Caenorhabditis elegans: one gene and its partners. The protein of the gene in region 2 interacts with the protein of the main gene of each other region in a pairwise test. Each region holds a gene or a part of one and is shown on either strand. Other genes may lie near its edges.

Region 1 (4,352 bases), on a different chromosome or scaffold from region 2:
GTATTTTCTCCGAGTCTTGACTCAGTGTTCATCTGTTCTCCAATAGCTTCTTGAACATCTTTCACATAAACGTGTGTTTGAAATAAACCTTCTCCATTATCGAGAATCGTTAATTTTTCTGCAGTCATTTCTTAACGACGAGAGTAAAAAGAGTATGGTTCTTTAAATCAAATGATTAGCATTTTATATCGATGAACCTCCTGTGGTTTCTGTCTGAAATTCTTCTTATCGTGAATGAACACAGTGTAGATTTTATGCACATGAAACAATAATTCCAAAGCACAAATGATATCAGACAAATCAAGCTCGGAAATTTTGTGTCAGGAGGTCAATTGTTTCGTATTTTATAGTTAAAACCAGCCACCGACATAACATCTTGCGTATGTCTTATAACTTGCATTTCAAAAGAACGTTTTTGTGATTTCTTGACAAATTATTGTATTATTTATCAAATTTGAGGTTTGTTCCATATCAATGAATTTTCGCATCAAAAAAGCTGCAGTGTTTGATTTTTAATTTTCTCTAAGCCGTGGTTTAAAAATTAAAGTCAATGAGTTACTTTATTAAGAAGTTGCTTCACAATTCAAAAGTTTCGAGAAATTTCATAATTTTATCGGTATTCTTATCATAAAGTCAACTTTTCCGCCGTTTCTAAATCCTTTGTCACATCTTTACTGTACAAGTGCCATCGCTTTAAGTCTTCCATGAGACGTTCAGCTTTTTCAGTGAGAACCTCACGATACTCCTCCACGTTCTCATTATCAGTCGAATACGAAAGTTTAGCCTGTAATTAATTAACTATTAGAGAATACTTGTACGTATTGACTACCTGAGCAACAGGGCCAAACAGTGGCATCACAAAAAGACCACCACCAACAAAATATAACCGATATGACTCTTTTAACTGGAAGTAAATTAATCAGTATTGATAAAGGAAACTAGTATTATTACCTGATCGAGTGTGTAAGGAGCCTCATTACCTTCAAGCGCCTCCAAGAAATACTCGTAGAATTGTTCTAAAAGTTTCTCCCAGTGAGCCTGTCTGTCAGCACCAGAGAGCGTGGAAAGAAACACACGAACAAGATCTTCTGCTGGATTTCCCATGTGGATGAGCTAAAACGATTATAAAAAAATGTTTTTCATAATTTATTAATTTATTACCTGATAATCAATAACTTTGCTGGCTACACAGTTTCCATCATTCTCTTTCCACAAAATATTGGCTGCCCATAAATCTCCATGAACCAGAACATTTTTTTGAATGCCTAAAATTTCCAAATTATATTTACAAACAAGGAAATAATTGTTTAATTATTTAAGTTATGATTTGATTGATTCTCATAAATTAAAAACCAGAACTCACCAGCGTACTTGTTCACATGACATGAAATCTCAAAGTTGACGATATCCATTCCTAATGCTTCGACTGCATCTGTAGGTTTTGTCAGACGTTCCGGATTAATTTGACGTGCTCGAGTGTACATTTGCTTCATTCCTTCTTCACTCATCATTCTTCCAACCATTGATTTAAAATCATATCCAGAAATACTATTGATTTCATCTTCCGTTAAATGAAGACTTCCCGCTTGAAGTGTTGCCAATGATTGTAAAATCTGAATGCTGTGCTTAATTTATGGTTTAAATCATTCAAACTAACTGGATGCAACTCGTGTGGTTTTGCATTACAATAGAGATGCCTAACAACAGCATCATCCACATACTCCATTCCCAAAACTCCCTGAGTCTTGTTTTCACAGTCGAATTTCTTGTAGAAATAAATCTTTGGACTCAACAGCGCGTCATTCTTGTTCCATTTCTCAGTTATCCTATAGAGATTGACTTCTCGATTGTGCACATTCTGAGCTTCTCTTTCGAACATGGCCCATAATTCAGCTTCTTGTTGTTCAGTGAATGCATCTGGGTTTTTCTCTTTCATCTGTGAAACAAGGTGGTGAACATTGATACAAGATGTCAGTTTTAATATGATTTTTTCTGGAAGGTTCTCGTTAGGAATAGTCCAATCTGCTTCCACAAGTACCACACGACTCATGAATCCCTAAAATTAAATATTTAGCAAAAGAAGAACAGCTACAACAAATAAGAACATACATTTCCATCTCCCACCACTGTTAATTTGGTCTTCTCTCCAAGCTTTGAATCAGTATTCATCTGTTCTTTAATTAGAATTTGAATATCTTCCAACTTGACATGAGTTTCAAACAATCCATCTCCATTATCGATGATTGAAGGTTTCTTTTCGCTCATAGTTTTTTGTTTCAGTTTGAATCAAAAAATAAGACTGAATCAGTATCATGCAACAAATGGCTATCAATTTAATACCGGCGAGCAGCCTATCGTTTTTTTCACTACACAAAATAGTCAGAAAATATCAAATTGAGACTAGTGTTGTAAATTGAGATAGAATTTAAAAAAATATATTCAAATTATTTAAATAGATCGTCTAGAAAGCATTATAATTTTGCATTGGTAATTTTTGTTTATATAGAATCACCTCAATCAAGTGAAAATGGGAGTGTTCCATTGTTTTTCTTTACTTACTTAGTGACGCAATTTCATAGATTACGCACGATTGATCGTCAACACAAACCACATTATGTGAAATTACAAAAAGTTGTGCAATACTAGAGTTTACTTTTTTCCGTTATTTTATATTTTTCCCTTGATTTTCAATGCATTGCTATGAACTTTGGTACAGTTTATTAAAATAGTTGTTTTTCTAAATTTATTGAATATTGGACCCCTATAATGTGCAATAAAGTTTTCGGGGAAGTTAACTAAATTTTATCTGAGTTAGATGTGGATTTACAAAACATTATTATTTTTTTTCTATTTCTAAAAACAACGCTATTTGGTCAAATAAGTTTTCTATCTTTTGTGTAACTAATTGATATTTGGATATTTGAGGCGAATTATTTGATTTAGGCTATGTCTAAAGAAAAATAGATATTTAAAATAATACTGCCGGAGTGTTAATAGCTAGAATATTTATTGCGCCTTATTGGAACTTATTAATACAACTATTCGTTTTTGGTTTGTAAATTTACCTGCCATTATTATTTTTTATACATCTGTATATCTTGTAAATATTATTTACAACAAACGGTTTATTTGGCTCAACTTATATAATATTTACATAGAAATTTCATTTACACTTCTATTTTAGATTTGCTTAAAGTTTTTACTGTGCAAGTGCCAACGTTCCAAATCTTCCATTAGCCGTTCAGCTTTTTCTGTGAGAACTTCACGATACTCTTCTGCGTGTTCGTTGTCGGATGAATAAGAAAGTTTCATCTGAAATCAATTAACTTTCTCATATACGTTACAGACAATACCTGTGCAATCGGTCCAAACATGGGCAACATAAAGAGACCAGCAGTAACAAAATATTGACGGTAGGATTCTTTTAACTAAAACTAGAACATTGTTCAAATACCATGAACTACAAAACATTTACTTGCTCCAGTGAATATGGCGTCTCGTTGTCCTGAAGAGCTTCCAAGAAATACTCGTAGAATTGCTCCAAAAGCCTTTCCCAGTGTGCTTGACGATCTGCTCCAGAAAGTGTACAAAGAAGAAGTCTTACCAAATCTTCAGCTGGGTTTCCCATGTGAATGAGCTGCAATATTACAGAGATAAAAAACACAACTTTTTGGGGACTTACCTGGTAATCTATAACTTTGCTTACTAAAAATTTTCCCTCATTCTCTTCCCATAGAATATTCGCTGACCACAGATCTCCGTGCACCAAGACATCACGTTCGATACCTGACATAAAGATCTTATCTCTCAATAGTTTTCACTGATAGGTAAAATATATCCAAATTTGTGAAAGAAAACTCACCAATGTAACTGTTTAGGTTAATAGCTTTATCCAAATCTACGAGCTCAGTTCCATAAATCTCAACTTTGTCGACGCTTTCTTTTAATCGTTCCGGATTGATTTCACGAGTCTGCTTAAAATTATTTTGCATGCCTTCTTCACTGAATATTGTGTTTGACATCTTCTTCAAATCAAATCCAGCAATACTTTGTTTTTCCTGATCAGTCAAATGAAGACTTTCCGCTTGAAGTCTGGCAATCGATTTTAATACCTGTAAATAAATTGAGTTTTACTTGATAATCTGATTTAAAACTTACAGAGTGCAGCTCAAATGGTTTTACATTGTAATAGAGATGTCTTACAGTTACATCATCAACAGCTTCCATGCCCAATATTCCTTTTGTTTGGTTCTCAGAATCAAACTTTTTGTAAAAATAAATCTTTGGACTTAACAACTCATCATTCTTATTCCATTTCTTCGTAATTTTATACAAATTAACTTCTCTGTTAT
Region 2 (5,259 bases):
ATTAAGAATTGGATTAGAGAATAATAGGGCTTACTTGGATATTGGGAAAAATAACTTTTAAGTGAGGTGTACGTTTTCTAATCAGATGATGGGAGATAAGTAATTTTTATTTAACAATATTATTTTTTTAAATCAATTTTCGTTGTTAATGAAAAATAAAACTACAAGAAAAACTATTTTTCAAAATAAAATAAAATTATTGATTTTTGTGGGATTTCCCTCAATAGTTTTTGATTCAATACTCGACTTTTTTAATATTAAAATGAATAGGAGGATAACCTTTCAGGAAAAAAGTGCCAAAATATACCTGTAAAACATATTGAATATTTTTCAAAATTTTAATTTAAGCCGCCATTCCTCTACGAATCTTCCACTGTTTGATGTAAACTCCTGTGCTAGCTTTCCAAACCCTTCCCCTGTCTGCCTCATTTGGCGTGACCTACCCCTGCCCTGCTCCGAAATTTCAGAAAAGTTTGCCTGGAAGGCATTTTTGTGTCTTAATATAAATCTTTTATTCAACGTTTCCCAAAATCGGCAGAATATCAATCATTAGAATGAGGCTTTGGTGGAACAATATCATGAGCTGTATCCATTTCGTAAAGTTCTGCATTTGCTTTTTGATGTTTCTTCCGCTTCTCTGCAACTTGATCCACATCATCCTTCAAATAATTAATTTGTAAAGGTGCAATACTATTAAAGTGCTACCTTAGCCTTTTTGATGTCCATTTCAAGTTGTTCAATTTCTGCTCTTCTAGATTTATGAGTACAACAATAGAAAAAGACAAGAAATATCAAAACAAGATATTCGATTGCAGATATAATACTCATTCCAAGGAACAAACCAACTTGACCGCCAACATCAGAAATGAAGTTTACAAACTGAAAATATTCCAATTTTTATGAGTTCCATTTTTAAACTTACCGTATACGCTGGTGACTCTGTAAGAACTTGGAAGTTCATTCGTTCATAATATATTTCAATGAGAATGGTGTTTGCTTTATACCAATCAAGACACGATTCTCCTGAAGCATCCCACGGACCAGATGGACCACCAGGATTGCATTCTGTTGGCTAGAAAAATTAATTTTTACAGAAATATTCAATATAAAAGCACGTACCACATATGAATCGGATGGCCATTGAGCAGTGGATACAGTTACACCATATGAATCGATTCTGAACCAAATAATATTATTTTGACAACTCATTTACAACTGCTGCCTGTTTTAATAAATATTTGAAACATAACCTACTCGCAAGGTTGAGGGCAATCACAATCGGTGAGCACATCGAATTCCGTTGAATCGGCACTATTGATCAAGTCAACACAGTTTACTGAAACATATAAATAATATAATAGGAAAATTGGTCAGATTTTTTTCAGTTAATGAGCAGATAAAACTTACAATTAGAAAGTGTCTGTACACCGTTATCACATGATACATACTGTGTTGTATTTGATGCATGGGAATAAGCAGGATAGTAACATCCACACGATGCAATAATCTTTTCCTGCATACAACTTCTAAAACATGCTTCAACAGTGTATGTTCCAGTATAATGAGTAGTTTTTAGTTTTGTTTTGGTTGTGCAGCTACCGTAAGGTTTACTAAGACGAGTAGTTTGAACATAACTAACACCAAGAGAGGAAGCAGTTCCCGGCGGTGCAAAGTAACCGAATACATCTGAAATAAGATCAAGAATACACTTCTAATGCAATTTGGCAGTTCACCAGGATACGGTATTTCATCCTGCATATGAATATCAATGATAACGCCTGAAGCTTCAGTCCATGGAAGATATGTATCTTGATCTGTTCTCATCACCATACGAAGACCATAAAGTGGTCCCGCGCGGGAAGAAGAATACATTCCATCAGTGTTAAATTGCAGACAATTTCCGTATGACGGGTTGTAAAAATCGTTAAAGTCACTGGAAAGTTAAGAATTATCTTTCAGAATTTTGTTTGAAACAAGGGTGCGCGGAAAATATAAAAATATATAGAAAATTTGCCCATATTATTAAAGTTTTACAATTAATAATTAATTTAAAATGATCACTGAAAATATTTGAATGAATTGAGTCTAATTATATTTATTGGTTTTTTCTTCTCAATAAATGATGATATAAATTGAAAAAATTGTTATTATTGTTGAAAAAGTTTTTAAAAAAGCGAAAGAGATTCTAAAAATTATGTTTGACAAATTACAACTTTAGATAAGTACAGGTTCATTTCTACTTTCCAATAATAATACTCATTATTTTCAAATCAACCACATATTTTCTAAATTTCTACGTTAAGTTTTAATTGCATTATATAAAGCTACACTATTTTATCAAAATAAGCAGATTGGTAGACGTAAAGAATTACTGCGAACACAAACTTTAAACGTACGTAATGTTGCATGTTTTTGCATTATACGTGCAACTAACAACCATGTCATCATATGAATATGCAATGTCTGCCGCATCCTGAAATTACTCACTTCCTTTGGTTTATCTTCAAAATCTCAAAGAAAAAGAAAGCAATCGATCATAAAACACACACAAGAACAATAAAATATTCTCCTAGTTTTTGGATTTTATGTCTTTTCCGAAATGATTATAAACCCCCAATTTCAATTTCGAACATTTATGTGCTTTTTTGAAGAAACTTGATTTATCGGTCGAAATTTTAGTTCCCGGTGCTCTTTGAGCATCGGAAATTCTGAAACATGTTCAACAAGCTTTGACCTACATTATACTGTTTTTCGTTAAGTCTTTCAGAATACATGAGAGTCCATTTACTAGCTTGTTGCTGCCTATCAGCTGTCAAAGAAGCTGGGAGTCCAAATTGAGCAGAGCTTGAATCAGAGTTGTAGGCGTCGATCTGGAAAACTGATGCTCTTCTGATAGGTAAGGGATATAAGACGTAGAGATGCAAATTAACGCGTTTTCTACAACTCCATCACTTTCACTTCAAAAATCAGTCCCTCAAAATCATTTAAAATGTTATTAAAGACTTTGGATTACCAGTGCACTCATATCCGGGTCCACACTTTTCGTTTCTGATAGTTTCCATGGATTTAAATGACAAATCGTGACGGTGGGAAATGTCCGTTCGGCAAATTGCAGCTGGAAATTTATGGGTAAAGTGTGAGAATGCAGGAGCAGTTTCCGTGAGATTTTCAGATGACTTTTTCTACAAATTTAAAAACTTCAAGATCAGTAAAATATTTAGAAAAAACCTAATTACGCTTTGCCCTGGTAGAATGTCTATTTTAATATCCCCTGTTCGCAAGAGATATATAGTTTTTGTAAGTTTTCTTTACAACAAACCGTAGTTTCCGTATTCACACTGAATGATAAATAGTTGGTAAGCAACGTGATGAATTGCCAAATAAAAAGTGCAATGGAAACAACGACGACAAGTATCCAGAATGCTCTGAAATCATTTATCATTCTGGGTCATTAATTTCCATGTCTACCTCAACCATCGAGCATTTGCCATTCCAATATGTGGAACTCCATGAGTTGATGTCCAACACGAAAAATCCGTGAAAACATACTTCAGGCCGGTCCAAAATACACCCATCTGCAATTTTATTTTAATTTATTTCCAATCAACCTTTGTCACAAGGCATTCCACGTCATAATTAAGGTAGAAAAATGCCACACCATCTTTAAACTGTGATCAAGTTCCCAAGGATATTTTGTTTTAAAAATCTTCTTTTCCAAATAGATTCCCAATTTCCTATTTTTGCCCATTAGAGAAATACAATACTTTGTATTCGTCGGTTTAAAGTCACATGGACAATGGGTAGGAAAAGTTTTAGAGTTCATTTCTGTTGTGCTAAAATGACCAAATATAATAGTGAAGCTTTTCAAATACATTTATAAATTTTATTATGCACTTACTCAGTTTTTTCCAGTTAGAATTTTTTCATCAAAACAAATTTAATATGTTTTAATTTTGTTTTCACTATTTGTATCTAAACATTGTAGGAGTCAAAAATTTGTCAATTTGCCAAAACTTTGACTGAAAGTTTTCAAAAACATATACAATTTTCGGTGAAAAATTTAAGTATTATTAGAAACCGCATCTGGTGGTATTTTGCCTTTGTTCCATCTAAAAATTATATTAATGATTTGAAGATAATTTGATAATATCAAAAACATTTTAATTGAACTACATACGTTTTGATTATTTTCTTTAAGTTTCTACTCACAAAGTGTACGTTTGAAAAAAACTGATACTATCTAGATTTCAACCATTCTCCGGAAAATTAATATATGTTTATTTGTCGTTTCTGATCAAACAGTTCTGTTTCTCGAGATGTGAGAATTCTATTTTTATTTTCAACCGTAACAATTTTCAAGAAGCCAAACTAGCAAATACTAATCATTTTGAAAGTCCAAAATATCATAACTCATACATATTTATCATATGATCTATGACATATCAACATTTAATTTATGACTTTTTCATTTAAGGCTTCTCTTTTCCTTCTATCTTTCAATCATCGATCATATGATAAAGCTAATATTTAAAGGCAATTCTAGCAAATATTTTGTGTAATTTGGTACTTACAGTTGAAAGCATTCCAAATTCCCTATCATAGTAGAAATCAGTTTATGATTTATCTGCCAAGTTAAAAAATCAAATTCCCAATTCAAAGTATTCCCTGAACAAGCACTAATTAGAGATACGAGGAACCCTTTCTTCCCTTCTTCAATTCTCATTAGGATATTTTAGATTCTGGAAATATGAGCATTTTGAGCTCCGTGAGCAGCACGGAATAGAGCATAATTATTTAATGATTTACGAGGTCCTAGCAGTAATATCTTACATTTCAGAATTGTATATAGCCAGCTTTTTTTGTTAAATCTTTCTGTTTCAACCAAAACTCTTGTGACTAAGCTCGTGATCTCGTTATTATACATTTTTATAATTCTTTCTTGAATTTTCGATTTTTTAATTTAGAAGATAAGAAAGGGTTTTTTGTTTCATAAGTTGTTCGTTTTTAAGTAGTACTTGGAAATCTTCAAGTGTAGATTTATTACTAGAAAGTCAGAAAACAAGATCTAAAATAAGAAATGTTAAAAATGTTGACAAGGAAGTAGTGTGGGTGGAGATTTATGATGTCTACATTTGGAATGGATCTCATATACTGTGTTCATTGGTGAAATAATTTTCTTTTTTCTTGGCGCCTTTGCTCCTCAAACTGTGATGTTAGAAAGCACTTCACCACTTCGAAACTATTTTTTAAATTTATTAT
Region 3 (3,503 bases), on a different chromosome or scaffold from region 2:
AAGGGAGTGATCAGAAAAAGGGAGATTGCATAGAGAGAATAACAACGGAAAACTGAAAGCAAGTTAATTAGTTCGAGGATTTAAGTGCAACATCAATGCGTAGTTTTTCTTCAAACGTACACTTTTCAGGAAACGTAAAAAATTCGAAAAACTAATTTATTGTAGTTTCCGATAAACTTATGACTTCAAAATTTTGATTCGTTCTTACAATGTTTAACTACTAGAAAATCTATTATAGCTTTATATTTTCTTAAAACTAAAACTGATGTTCAGCTGAATTCAAAAGTGTTTATATGTCGAAGGGACACACTGACGTGACTGACGTAATTCTGTGAGAAGAGAGCCGTAATCAGAAGCTACGATGCTCCTCGGCCAACAAATTGAATTATTATTATATTGCATATGGCCAAAGGCAATGGAAGGAGGCAAAAGATTTTAAATTGAGAAAAGAGGGAGATGATACTTGTATGATTTGAGGGCATTTTTTGCAATCTTTAACACTCATAGAAAACTGCTCAAAGAGAGAAAAATTAATTGTTAACCAAAATTCAAACATTTATTTGAAATTTGTTGAAATTAAAATTTTTTAAACACAACATAAAAAAGTGTTTTTATCTGTCATACATATGAAAAAGTTCGATCTTTGAAGAGTGATGTTAAATATCAATCTAATAGTAAGAATGTTGAATGGCTAGACATAAATTAGATTACAAAGTGGCAGTAAAAGAAAGTTTTGCAAAGTGTATGTAGAAAGATAAAAACCGAATACATTACTTTCGTAATCCAATAAAAACCATTGATGATTGTGGATATTAAAAATACATAGAGCTAAAAATTATGAACAACAACTTCCAGCTGCTTCACTCTCCTCCACAGTCATCATGGGTCCTAGGAAGAAATATCCGGTGGTATGACCTGAAAAATTACTGTTTCAGAATATCCTTATTATAATTATCTTCAGGCGAAAAACTTATGAGCAATTTGAAATCTTGAAAGACTGATTTTCAAAAATGTATTTGTACTCTAACGTACGCATTTTTTTTAGCCAGCAGGTATTACATTACCTGCAAGCAAGGAGAGAAATATTGGCCAATTGTAAGTCATTGAAACCAGCATAAGAGAGTAATCAATGAAATGTTGCACAAATACAAGAAGTGAAGAAGCCATGTGAAATTTTGAAATTAAGGAGTCACGGGTGAATCTGGAAGAATTGAAAATAATTCACTTGTTATGAAACAGTAAACAAAGTTTAGTTATAAAAAACATATTTAGAAGCTTTTCATTGTAGAGGTATTAATTTTAATTTTAAAACATGTAGAGGTAGTTGAAAAAGAAAATTTCAGCTCAAAAAGAGTTTTTTAAAAGTTTACAGTTTAGGAAAATGTTACTCGTGAATATTTTTTTAAACAAAAGGCATGCATCTCTCATACAATGATGCAGCAAATAACTAACGGTGCCAAAGTGACAGTTTTTTGTGTCAAAGGAATTGTTTCTGGAATATTCCATAATCCATCTTTTTCTGTTGAACAGCAGCAATCTACTTTCTGAAAATTCGTGCATTATAACCATATTAATTATTAAAACTCACCTTTTCCACAATCTTAACTTTTGGAGAGAGTTTTGTTCTTCCAAATTTCAAAGCTTCTAAACAAAAAGCAATTAAAAAAATTTCAATGCATGAAAATACATAAGCAGTGGTGTTCAGTGGTTTCCATTCGCGAAAAAGAATGGGCTCCTCAATTCGAAAATGAAAATACATTTCCATCATCATGTGCATCATTTTGAGTACAATATATTTGAAGTTAAAAGAATATCTGGAAGAGTAGGTGAATAAGGAACGCATTTCAAAATCAGAGGTAAACCAATATTGTCAGTAACAAAGAAACACTCAGAATAAATGATCAAAAATTGTTGATAACATTTATATGAAATTCTAGAAATGAAATTAAAAAATAAAAACTATTCACTCCTTCCTCCAAAAATTAAAAATCCAATAGACAAGCCAATAACAACAGCTAATCCCAACCAAATTGAAAACGTCATGAAAATGAGCATAAGACAATAACTGAAACCGAGTTGAACAAAAAATAAGAATGTTTGAAAAAAGTGCATTGTGGAGAGCAGGCGGGAAATGTAGCTGCAAATATTAAAGAATTGTACAAGCCGTTTTTTCAAAATTCAAATTTTGGGTAATTTCGAATCGGAAAATGAAATGTTTTTTTTAAGTTTAAAAATATTCAAAACATGGAACTGCCAATTGTATAATTTTCAGTATTTTTTGTTTCGGAAAATGTTTATCAGCTAACCTTTCTTTTTTGCTTGGTGATTGTCGTTTTTGAATTAGTCTTCTGTTATACTTAATTGCTTCCAAGATAATTCCAGCAATTGCAACGAGTATACACGCCCAAACCATTTCTAAAATTTAGTTATTCAATGTATCTTCAAAGCAAGGAATTTTCACTCATACTTCCAGCACTAGTAATATTCCACGTGGAAAAAAGAACAGTGTCTTGTGGTTTTGTATGAAACCACATCCACATGAAAGGTCCTTGATTCATGTCCATATCCATTGAATTATGATTCATTGTTGGTATCTGCAATAAGTTAAACAATCATAAAACAATAAAAATTTGAAAAGTAAAAATAATGTGTATTAATATTTTGAGACCAAACCAAGTGAACAATGATTGACTGAGACGAAGCAAAATGATAAAGAAACTCGAAAAGCCGGGAAATGATAAGATTCTTTGGGTGCAAGTATGGGAAGACATTCAAGTCAGGATTGGATAAGAGATACCGTAGTCACCACAGTTAAACTACCGTATTTCTTCTATTAATATGGCTGTAATACTATTTTTCGATGGTCTTCCCGCTTGCAATACTAATAGGGAGTGTAAGACTATTAGGGAGTGCAATACTAATTTTCCGAACATTTTTCTGACTTTGAGCTTACTAGTTTTTTTTTCTGAAAAAGCTCGAATCTTATGTAAAAATTCAGAATATTTGATTTTAATTGTAACATATAAGTTCAAAAACTTCAATCTCGTAGAAATATTGTGAAAAACTGTTGCAAAATAGGCAAAATTTTTTGTTGAAATCCTGAAATTAACGAGACGGGCCTGCAATAAAAAAAAGTAAACGCAAGACTATTAGGGAGTGCCATACTAATTTTCGGAAGGTCTCCGAGGGGCAACACTAATAGGGAGTGCAAGTCTAATAGGGAGGCCATATTAATAGGAGATATACGGTATAAAATTCGTAACACTAATAGGACAAAAAGCCACTTTTAGGACAAAATTTCAAATTGGCCTCCTGGGGAGCCATCGATAGGAGATAATTGGTCTCCTTGCCAAACTCGGTAATTTCACCAATGTGTGAATTTTGTACAGTTTTTCCATACTTCCACAGTGAAACGCAGTCTCATTGAAGAACAGCAGGTAAACCTTATTAAATTTTAATGTCTGGTTTTCAATACTGCTGAACTTTTTAATAAAATTGTAACG

Evidence for each region. Proteins that work in one complex are often made in the same cells at the same time.
Region 1: the proteins of del-4 (region 2) and T16G1.5 interact in a two-hybrid assay, tested with the Caenorhabditis elegans proteins (one large-scale study listed by BioGRID).
Region 3: the proteins of del-4 (region 2) and F58G6.7 interact in a two-hybrid assay, tested with the Caenorhabditis elegans proteins (one large-scale study listed by BioGRID).

What each region holds. Positions count from the first base shown.
Region 1 is NC_003283.11:12,937,032-12,941,383, forward strand, and holds T16G1.5 (CHK kinase-like domain-containing protein), read right to left. Parts: upstream 2,522-4,352; 5' UTR 2,266-2,521; coding exon 2,110-2,265; intron 2,057-2,109; coding exon 1,658-2,056; intron 1,614-1,657; coding exon 1,364-1,613; intron 1,266-1,363; coding exon 1,162-1,265; intron 1,114-1,161; coding exon 952-1,113; intron 905-951; coding exon 830-904; intron 785-829; coding exon 626-784; 3' UTR 543-625; downstream 1-542. Other genes in the region: T16G1.6 (CHK kinase-like domain-containing protein), read right to left, coding at 1-128; T16G1.4 (CHK kinase-like domain-containing protein), read right to left, coding at 3,181-3,312, 3,354-3,428, 3,476-3,637, 3,683-3,786, 3,863-4,112, 4,159-4,352.
Region 2 is NC_003279.8:8,138,963-8,144,221, forward strand, and holds del-4 (Amiloride-sensitive sodium channel), read right to left. Parts: upstream 3,576-5,259; coding exon 3,469-3,575; intron 3,426-3,468; coding exon 3,320-3,425; intron 3,116-3,319; coding exon 3,014-3,115; intron 2,871-3,013; coding exon 2,739-2,870; intron 2,474-2,738; coding exon 2,397-2,473; intron 1,934-2,396; coding exon 1,734-1,933; intron 1,687-1,733; coding exon 1,408-1,686; intron 1,337-1,407; coding exon 1,255-1,336; intron 1,178-1,254; coding exon 1,120-1,177; intron 1,073-1,119; coding exon 923-1,072; intron 880-922; coding exon 706-879; intron 660-705; coding exon 543-659; 3' UTR 506-542; downstream 1-505.
Region 3 is NC_003282.8:9,652,628-9,656,130, reverse strand, and holds F58G6.7 (Copper transport protein), read right to left. Parts: upstream 1,815-3,503; 5' UTR 1,781-1,814; coding exon 1,589-1,780; intron 1,545-1,588; coding exon 1,453-1,544; intron 1,202-1,452; coding exon 1,065-1,201; intron 916-1,064; coding exon 836-915; 3' UTR 543-835; downstream 1-542. Other genes in the region: F58G6.3 (Copper transport protein), read right to left, coding at 1,960-2,137, 2,307-2,415, 2,468-2,585.